Linked DNA regions of Kluyveromyces lactis. The protein of the gene in region 1 interacts with the protein of each later gene in a biochemical or structural test. Links are inferred from orthologs where the notes say so. Each region holds a gene or a part of one and is shown on either strand. Other genes may lie near its edges.

Region 1 (6,441 bases):
ACGGATATCCCTACCAGGTTTGAGGCTGTGCTTTTATCCAATATCTTGGGGAAATCGTTCTTTGCCACATTCCAAATCTTCTTCTACGCATTTAGACCTATGTTTGTCACAAGGATCAAATTCACCTACATCCACCTTTTGAACGTGTTGTACCAATTTATGTTCAATTTTATATGGATCGCGAATTTTGGTTGGTATTCATACTGTTATTTCCTGATGTCCTCATTCTTAGCCGGTTCTCTACATCCATGCTCTGGCCATTTCATTGCAGAACACTATCTGTTGAACATTGAAGAAGCTATCATCGGTGGTAAACTGATGCTAAAATTAACGCCAGCCGAAAGACAACCAATTAACGTCACTGATGAATCAAACGTCTCAAGAGAAGACGTCGAATTCAGGAAAAAGTACGCATTGGAGACGTATTCTTATTATGGGCTTCTAAACTTCTTCACTTGGAATGTCGGTTTACACAATGAACATCATGATTTCCCATTTGTTGCTTGGTCCCGACTTTGGGAATTGAACAGTTTATGTCCGGAATTTTATAATCATCTGCCAAAGCACTCCTCCTGGTGTAAAGTCTTGTACGATTTTATTACCCACGATGATGTCGTATTATACAATAGAGTGAAAAGAGTTAATAAAGAGTTCGAACAAAGCAAGGCTTAACTCATGCTTCCTGGGTGATTCTCGTAGACATATTATAAAAACATCAAAAACAAACACAAGAGAACCGGGAAAACGGCTCCTGATATGAAGTCATGATCACCTGCGAAATAACCGTGATACATTTCTAAATATTTATCCGTTTTTATAGATTATATAGCCCATACTTTCTAAACAAATTTACTCTTGTCGAACCTTCAGGACTTGTCTAAAAGGGAGTGTGATAAGAAATGGTTTGCTTCAATTTAATGACAATTTTTTTGTCATGGATATGTGTTGATTGGATTAGAGATCGGAGTTTTCGTTGATAACGAATGCGCTAAAAAAGGTCTTGCTCCCTCTTTCTCTGTATGCTAATGTTTCGATTGAGAAACTTTGAATTTCGAGTTTCATAGGAAAATGTACTTCAATAAACCAAATAAGCTCAGGCTGACTACAACCAGAAATATAGTGTGTAAACAAAATGCATCAAGTGAAGTCATTAAATAAAAGGGAAGATGGATATAATAAACCCAGTATAGATTCTTCACGAAATCAGCCAACTTTTCTCCTATGCCACCACGCGACATCTGCTGATTAGTCGGTGTGTAAATCATAGTCCCTCGAGACTTCTTGTATGGTTCATAAATCTTTTCTGCAGCCATTGTCTACCTTTTTCTTATCTTCAGCGTATTCCCTTCTATAAGTCAAAATTGACTCCAGTGTAGTTTAGTTCAATGTTACAATCGCCTTCTTACAGGATATCGTTTACTGATCAACCAAAATTTACCTGTATTGCTTCTGTTCTTATATTCTTCAATGTAAATATTGGTTTTTCATCAACCTTAAGAAATGTAAAGTTTAAAAAAGGTCGAGAGACGTGCCGAATGACAATAAGAATCAAAGTGTGTACATACCGTTTATACAATAATTGACTTGAATTAAAAGAATAAGGACATCGGTGCTTCAATCAGTTCAGGTTGTTTTTTTTGGTATGCTATCGGATGAACTAATTTCTTTTACCCTTGGTTACCTATCATTTGAATACACCAAAGAACGATCTTCTTTTCGTCTCCTTGGTTTCGTCTCTTGCATTAGAATTAGATGTAGAGTTGGAGTCATGTTTCATGCGTTCCATTTCTACAGATCTTCTGACACTGGTGCGGGAAAATGATGTCTTATTTTTTCGATGCTTACGTTGATCATCATTCGAAAGATTGATTTCTTGATATTTTAGGTCTAATGACCGACGCTTAGGAACTTTGGCGGGTTTCAGAAATTCTTTACTCTCAGACCCTGGAGATGTTGTTTGACGAGGTTGGGTTACAGGCTCCTTCAATTTCGGCTGCTTCAAATCGAGTGAAATGCTTTCATCTGATATAATGCTTTCTTCTAGTTCTGTATCTGACTGCCTAGTCAATGAATTCTTTGAAAGATCAAGTTGATCAAAAGTAAGGTCTAATCGTGGTTGAGCAGGAATTTGCTGCTGGCGCTCAGGCCTCAGTGAAGCTCGTGTATTCGGTTGAGCTTGAGCTTGGGGTTGGGGTTGGGGTTGGGGTTGGGGTGGAGGAAGAGGCTGAGGTTTAGATTGAGATTGAGATTGAGATAAAGGTTGCGATGAAATGATTTGATCTTGCATATTGGCTGTAATTGCGGCTGGTGTAGAATAGGGTACGTTATTTCTGGGTGGGGAAATGTCAATCAGGTATTCGTCATTCACGACGTTGCCATTATTTGGAACATCAGAAATAGGCATTGTAGTATCAAAAGTACGGGCTTGATCACTTTGTTGGATACTCAAGTTATTTAGGTTGTTTTCCTTCATCGGAGATTGTTGAAAATATGATACATTCTTTTCATTTTTTGGATGTGCAGGAGGAGTGCCTTTGAAGTATTGTTCGTTGTTCGCATCAAAGTACTCAGATGCATCCACTTCAGGCTGGAATTGTGATTGAAAAGGATTATGTTGTTTATGCTGTCTAGCAGCCGACATATTCGCAGTATTCTGTGGCTGTTGTGACGAAGGAAGTGGAGAGGGCGCCCTTATACCATGTGAACTGTGCCTTTCATTTGAATCCAATGATACTTGTGATTTGTTTGAAAGATCCGATATACTTCTGGAGCTCGATTGCTTGAGGGAGGTGGACAGTACTTGCAGATGATGATCATCTCTCTCCTTGGCGTTAGCAGATTCTAACTTTTCCACAGTTGGATAACATTCGTCCATTTTAGCAATATCAGTTTCCAGATCTTCTGGTGCTTCTTGTTGGTCGACAGATCCAATACCTTTATCAATTGGTTGTTTTGGAGCTATCTCGAAATTTTGAATGAATAAATCGTTCAACTTATCGACATCTCCGCTAGTTACCTTCTCATTTTTATATAGCTCAAACATTTGGTATTGTATTTGTTGCAATTTCAAGTGGTATTGAGAGTATTTAGCAAAATCGTAAGGACCCAATTCGTATTTATCAGTGAAAGGAACATCGCACTTCAGGATAGAACATACATGATGCATGACTTGATAAATATTCGGTCTTAGTGAAGGATTCTCCGCCAACATAATAATGATTAAGTTTATCAATTTGGATGAGTATCCATTCTGAGGAATTTCATACTTTGAATGTAAGATGGCAAACTGTCCAGTTAGCTCAAATGGAGTGGTATAAAATAGAAGTTTGTAGAGGAAGATCCCAAGAGCCCAGATATCAGATTTCTCATTGATAGGGAGACAGCGGTATAAGTCAATCATCTCAGGCGATCTGTACTGTGGTGTAGTATGCACATAAATGTTATTCGTAAGTACAGCAATATCTTGATGCGTTGATACGATTGGAAAACACATTGAAGTTGAGCCGAAATCGCAGAGTTTGAAATTATCATCCTTATCAACAAGCACGTTTTCTATTTTGATATCACGATGGATCAACGGCGTAGGTAAATAGTGCATCTGAGCAATTGCGTTCGATACATCATACATGATCTTCAATATTTCAGCTTCAGTTAACTTCGTTGCCAATTTGTTATTCATATAATCCAGCAATGACTTCTTAGGACAGAGCTCCATCAACAATAAAATTTCGAACCCTGGAGATCCATCTGGATGTCTTGATGCATTAGAGTCATAGTACTGTACGATATTTGGAGAACCCCTCAATTGCTTCATGGTCTCTACTTCGTTCCTTAGCTCATTTAAACCATTTTCATCGGGCACAATGACTCTCTTTAAACAGGCTATGTCCCCTGCCTTAAGCAGTTTGGAATCGATACCAGCATCCATCTCGTTAGTCAATTCCAAGAATTTTACCTTGTATATATTTGCGAACCCACCCTCAGCTAAATGCTCCAAAATTTCACACCTATGAGTGCCAACAACAACCTGAGTGTTGGGACTCAACAGATGCGAATTCGGAATCATAGCAGAGGTCGCCGCAGTATGTGCCACCGAATTCGGTCTGGATATAGTGTCTGATTTGCTCATCACAATATTTAGCGGACTGCTGAATTAAATACCACTACCAACAGTGCTTCCAACACTTGCTGTTAGTGTATACGATACTCTTCTTTATCGAATTCTCCCTTTTCTTCTTAACCATATAACCTTAAGTTCATTAAAATAGTAATCTTTATCGAAAACTTATTTTTCAGTGATTTTCGGAAGCAGAACTGATTCAGCATAGGAAATGTAAAAGAAATGAACCCTGGTGGACGGTATGGTAAAGCCAAATGAGATCAGAACGCTAGAGTATAAATATAAATATGTATGGTGAATTTAAATAAGGATTATTTATTGCAGCATGGAATCTATCTCAGTTATCATTTTTTCCATGTCTCCATAGCTATATTTAACATTTATGATCTCTTTACCCATTTTATTTTTCGTATTGACAGCCATCTTATGATCAATGAACTCTGATAGGATGGTTCGAAGACCCATTTCGCTCGAGACTACGAACTGTTCGGTGCATGTTTTAAAAAGTTCAGAGAACTCAATCCCAGGTGTGATTTTGTTTAAGGAACTAGATTTTGCACGAGGCTTTGACTCGTTCTTGGCATTAATCTGTCCCATTAGAAGTTGAAGAAGAATTTTGTACATTCTTTTAGAATTGTCCGTCAGGGATTCTAGTACGTATTTAGCACCGTTCGCATTAAACAAGGTACCTGAATCTTTGGAAAAGTCGATAGCATTATCGGTTTGTACTGTTTCTACGATGTACGGCTCAAAATTTGTGATATCGTGGTAAACAAAGTTGAATGATTGAGCTCTGAAATGATCCCAAAGGAAAGGAGCTTGTATATGGTCGACACTTGCTACGACACAGATTTGTTTGATTTGTGCAAGAATACTCATTCTGGTTTGAAAATGTTCTCTCCGGAATGACGGACCGTCCAAGTTATGTATCAAAAGAATCATCTTCACCGTAGGAGGTCTTTTCTTGAAATATTTTGAAAGCCTGTCCATTTGCAAGTCAATTCGATTATCCCAATAATTTGATTGACCTTGATCATCAATAGTCTCGCCCTCTACTAAGATTTTGAATATATCCAAAAAGATGTTCTTAGAGAGAGTGGTGTACCCGTTCATTACAAAAACCGGTATACATGGATCATCTTTTTGAATATCCGGGTTTTGCAACAAGGCGATCTTCATAGAAAGAAAGTTGAATGCAAATGATTCGAGGAATTTCTTCTTCGATCCGATACCATAGAATAATAACGTAAATCCCTGCAGTAACTCGAAAGTAAACTGCTGAAAGAGTGTTTCATGTATTTTTTGTACTGCCTTTGTCGATGAACGATGGAATATATCATTGGAAAGTTGAGAAAGAATGTTATATTCATCTCTGGAAATACTTGGTGCCGAGGACATCGAGTTCTTGGATCTTTTATCAGTTTTTAGGATCTTGGTCTGATCTATGAAACCTTCGAAACCATCGAAAAAATATATTTGAGATTGTTCATCAGATGTTTGGTCATTATTATCGCTCTTTGGCAACTTAGTCGGTTTGAAATTAGGGTTCAAGTTCAATTTCAGATGCTTATACTGCTGGATATCGTCGTATGCAAGATCATCGTCTATAATTTTATTCCTTTGAACTGTATTTCTGGTAGTCTTTCTTTGGGGTGATGGTTCTGCATTAAATGTAAGTTTTCTCCTAGGCGACTTATTAGGTGAGCTTTCATTAGAATCTATTTTAATTTTTAGATCCTCGTATTCGTCGTCATTGTGTATCAATTCATTAGTATCTGACACATAGTCAATGGCATCATCTTCCTCCAACTTCACCCTCTTGGTTGTTTTCCTTTGCCTTCGCCTGGGAGTTGCAGTATCTGTCGATGAGTGCTTCCTACTCTCTTCATCTTTATATTCAGTCTCAATGCTAACAGACTCTAATGTGAGCGATCGTTTGGGTGACTTAGGTCGTACCGTTTTGGAAGGCGAAAGAAAATCAAAACTTTTAAGTTTCTTCGGTGACTGATATCTTACTTTGGAAGGTGATATGAAAATGTCTTGGTGATTTACAATATCAATGTCTTCTTCTTCTTCCTCATTATCACTGCACTCTTTCTTCGTCATGTTTTCAAGGTTTAACCGCTCCAAGATAATCAAATACTCTAAAGTCTAGAGAATGGAAACTAACTTATAAATGTGGGAGTTGTTCTTCTATCAAACCTCGCCCACAGGTATTAACCCTATACACTATATTTGACATACAAACCTTAAATGTCAACATAAATATCGATTCAAAGTTAAAGGCATGAAGCTCTACTTTTTTTTTTCTGAAAAATTTC
Region 2 (6,442 bases), on another chromosome or scaffold:
TATCCGCTGCTTCGCCACCGCCACCACCACCACCGCCGCCACCACCTCCCTTACCGGTATCATTAGGTGGAACTCTTACTGCAGTACCATCTCCTCTCCCTACTGCATTATCCCCTGGTATTGCTCCTCCCCCTCCTCCTCCCCCTCCCCCACCTCCACCATTTCCATCGGCAAACACACCCAAAGCGACAGTCACAAGTCCCTTACTACCGCAATCACCATCTCTCTTTGAAAGGTATCCTCGTCCCAAGAAGAAGCTCAAACAATTACACTGGGAAAAAATTGACAATGCTGGGGATTCTATTTGGAAAAATGCTCAAGCAGAAAAGGTTGCTGACGATCTATTCGAAAGAGGTGTATTAAGTCAATTAGAAAAAGCGTTTGCTGCCAGAGAAACCAAATCATTAAAAGGAAAGTCTAAGGAAGCAAATGAAAAGATTACCTTTTTATCGAGAGATGTTTCCCAACAATTTGGTATTAACCTACATATGTTCTCCAACCTCGATGTTAAAGATGTTGTTGGGAAGGTAATGAAATGTGATAGAGAATTCCTATCTACTCCTAGCGTAATAGAGTTTTTGTCAAAGCCTACCATAATTGAAGTAACGAATAATTTGGCACGATATTTCAATCCTTACAGTACTGATTGGGAGGGAGTGACATCTGTTGACGATGCAAAACCCCCCGAAAAAGATCCTAATGAACTTCAACGTGCAGATCAACTATATGTTGAATTTATGATTAACTTACAACCGTACTGGGGGTCTCGTATGAGAGCAATCACTATGATAACTACTTATGAAAAAGACTATTCGGATTTGGTCACTAAACTAAGAAAAATTGATAGAGCAGTTCAGTGCATCGAACAATCTGAAAGTCTCAGACATGTTTTCGATGTTATTTTGGCAGTTGGTAATTATATGAATGATTCTTCAAAGCAAGCTCAGGGGTTCAAGCTAAGCACCCTACAAAGATTGACCTTCATTAAAGATGAAAAGAACAGTATGACTTTTTTGAACTATGTGGAAAAGATAATTCGTGAAAATTATCCCGAATACAGCCATTTCGTGGAAGAGCTTGAGCCTATTTTTAGCGTAACAAAAATATCCATCGAACAGTTGGTAACTGATTGTAAGGAATTTTCACAGTCAGTAATTAACGTTGAGCGTTCTATTGAAATTGGAAACCTAAGTGACCCTTCTAAATTCCATCCGTTAGATCGTGTTTTAAATAAGGTAGTACCGGTTTTACCTGAAGCTAGAAAGAAAGCTGATCTTCTAAGCGATGAAATCAAATTAAGTTTGCTGGAATTTGAAAATCTAATGAAGAAATTTGGCGAAGATGCCAACGACAAGTTCTCTAAAAACTCTTTCTTCCAAAAGTTTGCAGATTTCATTACCGAATTCAAGAAAGCTAAAACTCATAATGTCAAACTGGAAGAAGAAGAACGTGCTTACGAAAGGAGAAAGAAAATGATTGAAGATCAACAACGGAAACAACAGGAGGCAGATAGTAAGGCAACAGCAAAAAATTTAAGCACTTCGCAAGAACCGTCTGATGATAGGGACGATATAGAGAAGCTTTTGGATAAATTGAAAAATGCAGCTCCTTCAAAAGGAGATCCATCTAGTACTCGTAAACGTGCATTGGCTAGAAAGAAATTACTAGATGGTAAATCCGGGGCATCAATTTTTGATAACATCACTGCTGATAGTACTATCGAAGCTTTCGTGGAACAAAATAGAACGCTTACCGAATCGCCTACTGCTAAAAAATCGGCCAGCCTTCCTGAAACTGAAAGCTTGTCGTCATCAAAACAAGACCCTGCAGATAGAGCAAGGAATTTATTACTAGAATTAAGAGGCCCTGACGAAAGAAAAGACGCTTCTCCATCCCCAATCAAAGCAAAGGACAAGCTTAGGGATCTGAAAAAAAAAGATTCTTCTGTGAAAGTAGACCAACCTAATAAACTACAATTTGTTGGAAGCCTAGAAGTTGGACCTCATCCTAAACCGTTATCGCCAACCCAAGATTTGATGGACACATCGAACTCATCGGAAGATGAGTTTATTGATGCTTAAAGACTACATAATACTCATTTCAGCATTTATTTAATAACTACAATATGTGTATACTTGCATAGACATAATTCGTATACCGAAATTGACATTTTCATTTTAAAACCGGGTAATGAATTTAGTTCCAATGTTTGATGAAATCAAGAATGTAATATATATCAACCAAATTACCAGAGGACTAATGAAATACATAAATACTCGCCTGTGTAATTTACTTCAATAAATGAATCACTGATTTTGCTAACAGAAAGTACTTGCTACAAGCAAAGCTGACGGTAGCCTTATTTTTAGAATGGCGGATCAAGAAGAGTCAAAGCGCATATCTTTGCAAGTGACATCTTTATCTACGCAATTAATCGAAAGCATTGATAAACAATCCCAATTAGAAGAACAGTTACTAGTGGCTAAGAAAACCATTTCCACTCAGCAGAATATTGCGAACTCATATAATGAATTGAAGCAGGAACTACAATCTTTGAAATTACAATACGAAACCGATAAGACAAAATTCAAGAAACAGGAAGAAATTTGTGCTGATGCCGAAAAGAAAGTGGCTACATTGAACCAAGAAATTGAAGACTTAACCGCTTCTTTATTCGATGAGGCTAATAACATGGTAGCAGATGCAAGGAAAGAACAAAATGCTGTAGAAATATTAAACTCGAAGCTCAAAGAGCAGTTGAAAGAAAAGGATTTATTACTTGATACATTGTCAATGCAGTTAAAGAATCTCAAAAACGTACTCTACAAGTTCGAAAATGATTTCAATTCTTCGAAGAACGTTTCACTTTCAGATTCTGCGACGTCCTCTACCACATCAATTGATAGATCAACCACCAACCTAACCTCAGTAAATGATAATTCATTGTCGTTTCAAGGCGTGTTATTTTCCCCTCTTCTGCATTCGTTAAGGTATGACGTTCCTCTATACACAGAATATTTGAAATTTCTTGCTGTGCTACCACAATGCGAAAACCTTCAACAAACCACTTCGGAATCGAAACTATTAAGGAGATTAATAAACTATGAAATAAGTCCCGTCTTGCGACTTGATAATGCCTCCGGAGTAGGATGGCTTGTAAAAAGAAATTTAATGAATTTAATGATGGAAGGACTGGTATCAATCGAGCCGATTAGTGGAATAAATGAAACATATCGTACAGGATATAGTTCTCCAAGTATTCCCGACTCTCCAGAGGTCGAAAACAAAGATTCTCATTTGTTTAGCCGTCCGGTGAATTCTCCGCCTGTTGCTATGGTAGAACCATGTGCTTTCTGTGGTGAAAATAGAAACGACATCCTTGAACATGGAAGACTTTATATCTTCAAAACATATCAAAAGCTCGAAAATGGTAAAAATGAGTTAACAAATCAATTTCCCGTGTGCCATTACTGCTTGTTGAAATTAAGACAAGTTTGTGAAATTTTCGCATTTTTGAGATCATTGAGATCTGGTGCTTGGCATCTAGAAAAAGTAGCTTTGGCATCAATACATCAAGGCAAGGTCAATGCTTACTCCGAGGTAACTAAAGCATCAAGGCCGAAAATGAAATCCAAAAGATTAAGTATTTTCCAAGGATTAAAGCAATCGCAATCTTCAACTCCTATCATAGAAAATGGTCCACAATTTGCCGACAAAAACGGACTACCAACAACCAATATCCAGAGGTCATGGGCCCGTCTTTCACAACTACGAGCATCTTTACAATGGTCGCATATTGGCGTATGGTCTCTCGACGAATCGGTAGCTACAGATATTGCCCCATCAACAGATATTTCCAAAGCTAAAAGTTTTGAAGAAGAACAAGGTCTAGGCATTGCCTCAAACAATATCCCTGTCCCTATAACACATGAGGAGGATGAAACTTTCGATTTTGAAGCGGATACCGCAAACTCTATCAGTGTGGATGAAACAGTCAATGGTATACGTCACACAGATCAATCATCGGATGATATTGGCGATCATAATGAGAAAACTAATGAGAAGACTGCCACGGATTTACAAGGAAAGAATGAAGAGAAAAAAAGCAAAAAAATTGAACCACAGCATTCAAGACAGCCCTCACAATCATCCACAGTATTAAATGATAACAAAGAAAGTGCCGAATCAGCTCATGATACCCATGCATCATCTGAAGAGCCAAGTGATTTATTGGAAACTTATCAAGATCTGTCCGCTGATCTTGAACCCGAATCTGAAAAGCCTGAAAATTTGGATAATTCTGATGAAGAGGATAGTTTTAACGATGCAAAGGATGTCGTCAACTAGTGTCATGCACAATCTTTCCTCCTACCTTGCATACTTTGTAACAATAAATACCTGATGTAGAGAGTTTCATTTCAATGCACGTGATTTGTCAAATTTCGTCATCCTTATCATACCCAAAAGACTAAGCACCAAATTTATATATTGCAAGTATTTCTTCTTGCCTTAGATAAAACAATATGGCTGTAAGAAGGTTGTAGTAGCAAACGGAGCGCACGATAGTTGAACCGCTTATGGCCTACTTTGTGAATTATAATTAATACAGATGCAGATAGCCGCTGATAAAAAGTATGCAAAACTAGCTCTGTCTGATAAACAATCGAAGAATGAACCAAATCCGTTTGAACTGGAGTTAACGTCATTTGATGACACCGCGAAGACAGCTGACAGCGCAGTTGACCAAAACATTTTTAATGTTAATGAAGAAGACCCATTAACAGATGACATCTATTTATCTAATGAGGCAAAATCTAACAGGTACATGGCTTTCATGAACATGGCGAATAGTATTTTAGGATCAGGAGTGATAGGGCAACCTTTTGCGATGAAAAATTGCGGAATCATCGGCGGATTATTTGCGACCATATTAATGTCCATACTGGTTGATTGGACCATTCGTCTGATTGTGATCAATTTGAAATTAACCGGTAAGAGTACTTATCAAGCATCTGTAGAAACAGCAATGGGTCAATGGGGAGGACTTTTGATTTTAGTATCCAACGGCCTATTTGCATTTGGTGGTTGCGTTGGGTTTTGCATTATCATTGGAGATTCAATACCTCATGTTTTGAGCGCCTTTTTCCCTTCTCATACAGATCTTTTTCATCGGAATGTCATTATCACATTGGTGACTTTGTTCATATCGTTTCCGCTATCTCTTAACAGGGATATCTCCAAGCTTTCAAAGACATCAATGCTTGCACTTTTAGGACTTATTGCAATTGTTATTATCATAGTTGTTAAAGCTCCACTAGTAAGCGGCGAATATAAAGGAACTTTCCATTTACATCAGTTGTTTATTACACCAAGGATATTTCAAGGCATTTCTGTGATTTCATTTGCGTTAGTATGCCATCACAACACGAGTTTTATATTTTTCTCGTTGAGAAATCCCTCTTTAAAAAGATTTAATCAGTTGACACATGTCAGTTTAATTCTTTCTTGCATCGTTTGCTTAACAACTGCTTACTCTGGGTTCCTTAACTTTAAAGACAAAACAGTGGGTAATATTCTTAATAATTTCCCTTCTGATGATAATGTGATTAATTTTGCCAGACTTCTTTTGGGATTTAACATGCTTACTACGTTTCCTTTGGAAATCTTCGTTTTGAGAGATGTGATAAGGGACATAATATATTACAACAAAGACGACCCTGAACCAGTAAAGTTAACGACAAAAATGCATGCCCTCATAACGTCTGGTTTAGTTTTGATTATAATGTGTATCGCTTTATCAACTTCTAATCTTGGTGCACTTCTAGAAATCATTGGAGCAACAAGCGCTTCTCTCATGGCATATATACTTCCTCCACTCACTAATTTGGTTATAACAGGAAAAAAAAAATCCTTGAAAGAAAAGTTACCTTATTGCGGTTGTATTGTATTTGGTGTTATACTCATGTTCGTGAGCACCGCTCAAACTATATTAGAAGCGTTTGCGTAAAATCTATAGCACTATGTATGTAGCAGCTGTGTTAGCTAATATTCTGTATCTGATTCTATGCGTGGCTTTTTACGCTTTCGTTGTTCCGAAGTTACTTCTTCCTCAAGTGGATGTGATGAGTATTCTTCAGAGCTCACAACTTGGGTCTCTATGGGCTCGTTTGCCAAAGATGGAAGCGAGGCACTTCCAATGATGATAGTTTCGGCATCTACGTCGGAGAAGATTGGTGATTTCGGTGTTTCATTAAAAAGAGCAGAGTAATCATTTCTCAATTGTCCATTATTTTTAACCCTTTCTTCACAAAACTGAGCAAAAAGGGAGAACTGCGTTTCAGTCAGCGATCCATTATGTTTGTCCAGGAGCTGTCTCAGATATGTTTCATTTTCGAAGAATATTGCGCCGAAGTCGGGATCCTCATCGTCAGAGTCCATTATA

The links.
Region 2: the proteins of AKL1 (region 1) and SEC2 form a complex in vitro, tested with the Saccharomyces cerevisiae proteins (2 studies listed by BioGRID, with this or other methods). The link is inferred for Kluyveromyces lactis from reciprocal best matches to the Saccharomyces cerevisiae genes AKL1 and SEC2.

The regions. Positions count from the first base shown.
Region 1 is NC_006042.1:1,708,819-1,715,259, reverse strand, and holds AKL1 (serine/threonine protein kinase AKL1), read right to left. Parts: upstream 4,130-6,441; coding exon 1,685-4,129; downstream 1-1,684. Other genes in the region: KLLA0_F18656g (sphingolipid delta(4)-desaturase family protein), read left to right, coding at 1-672; TSC3 (Tsc3p), read right to left, coding at 1,059-1,313; ORC2 (origin recognition complex subunit 2), read right to left, coding at 4,436-6,226. UniProt on the Saccharomyces cerevisiae protein: Phosphorylates SCD5.
Region 2 is NC_006039.1:192,172-198,613, reverse strand, and holds SEC2 (guanine nucleotide exchange factor SEC2), read left to right. Parts: upstream 1-2,370; coding exon 2,371-4,347; downstream 4,348-6,442. Other genes in the region: formin BNI1, read left to right, coding at 1-2,081; AVT2 (Avt2p), read left to right, coding at 4,610-6,007; TOF1 (Tof1p), read right to left, coding at 6,043-6,442. UniProt on the Saccharomyces cerevisiae protein: Guanine nucleotide exchange factor for SEC4, catalyzing the dissociation of GDP from SEC4 and also potently promoting binding of GTP. Activation of SEC4 by SEC2 is needed for the directed transport of vesicles to sites of exocytosis.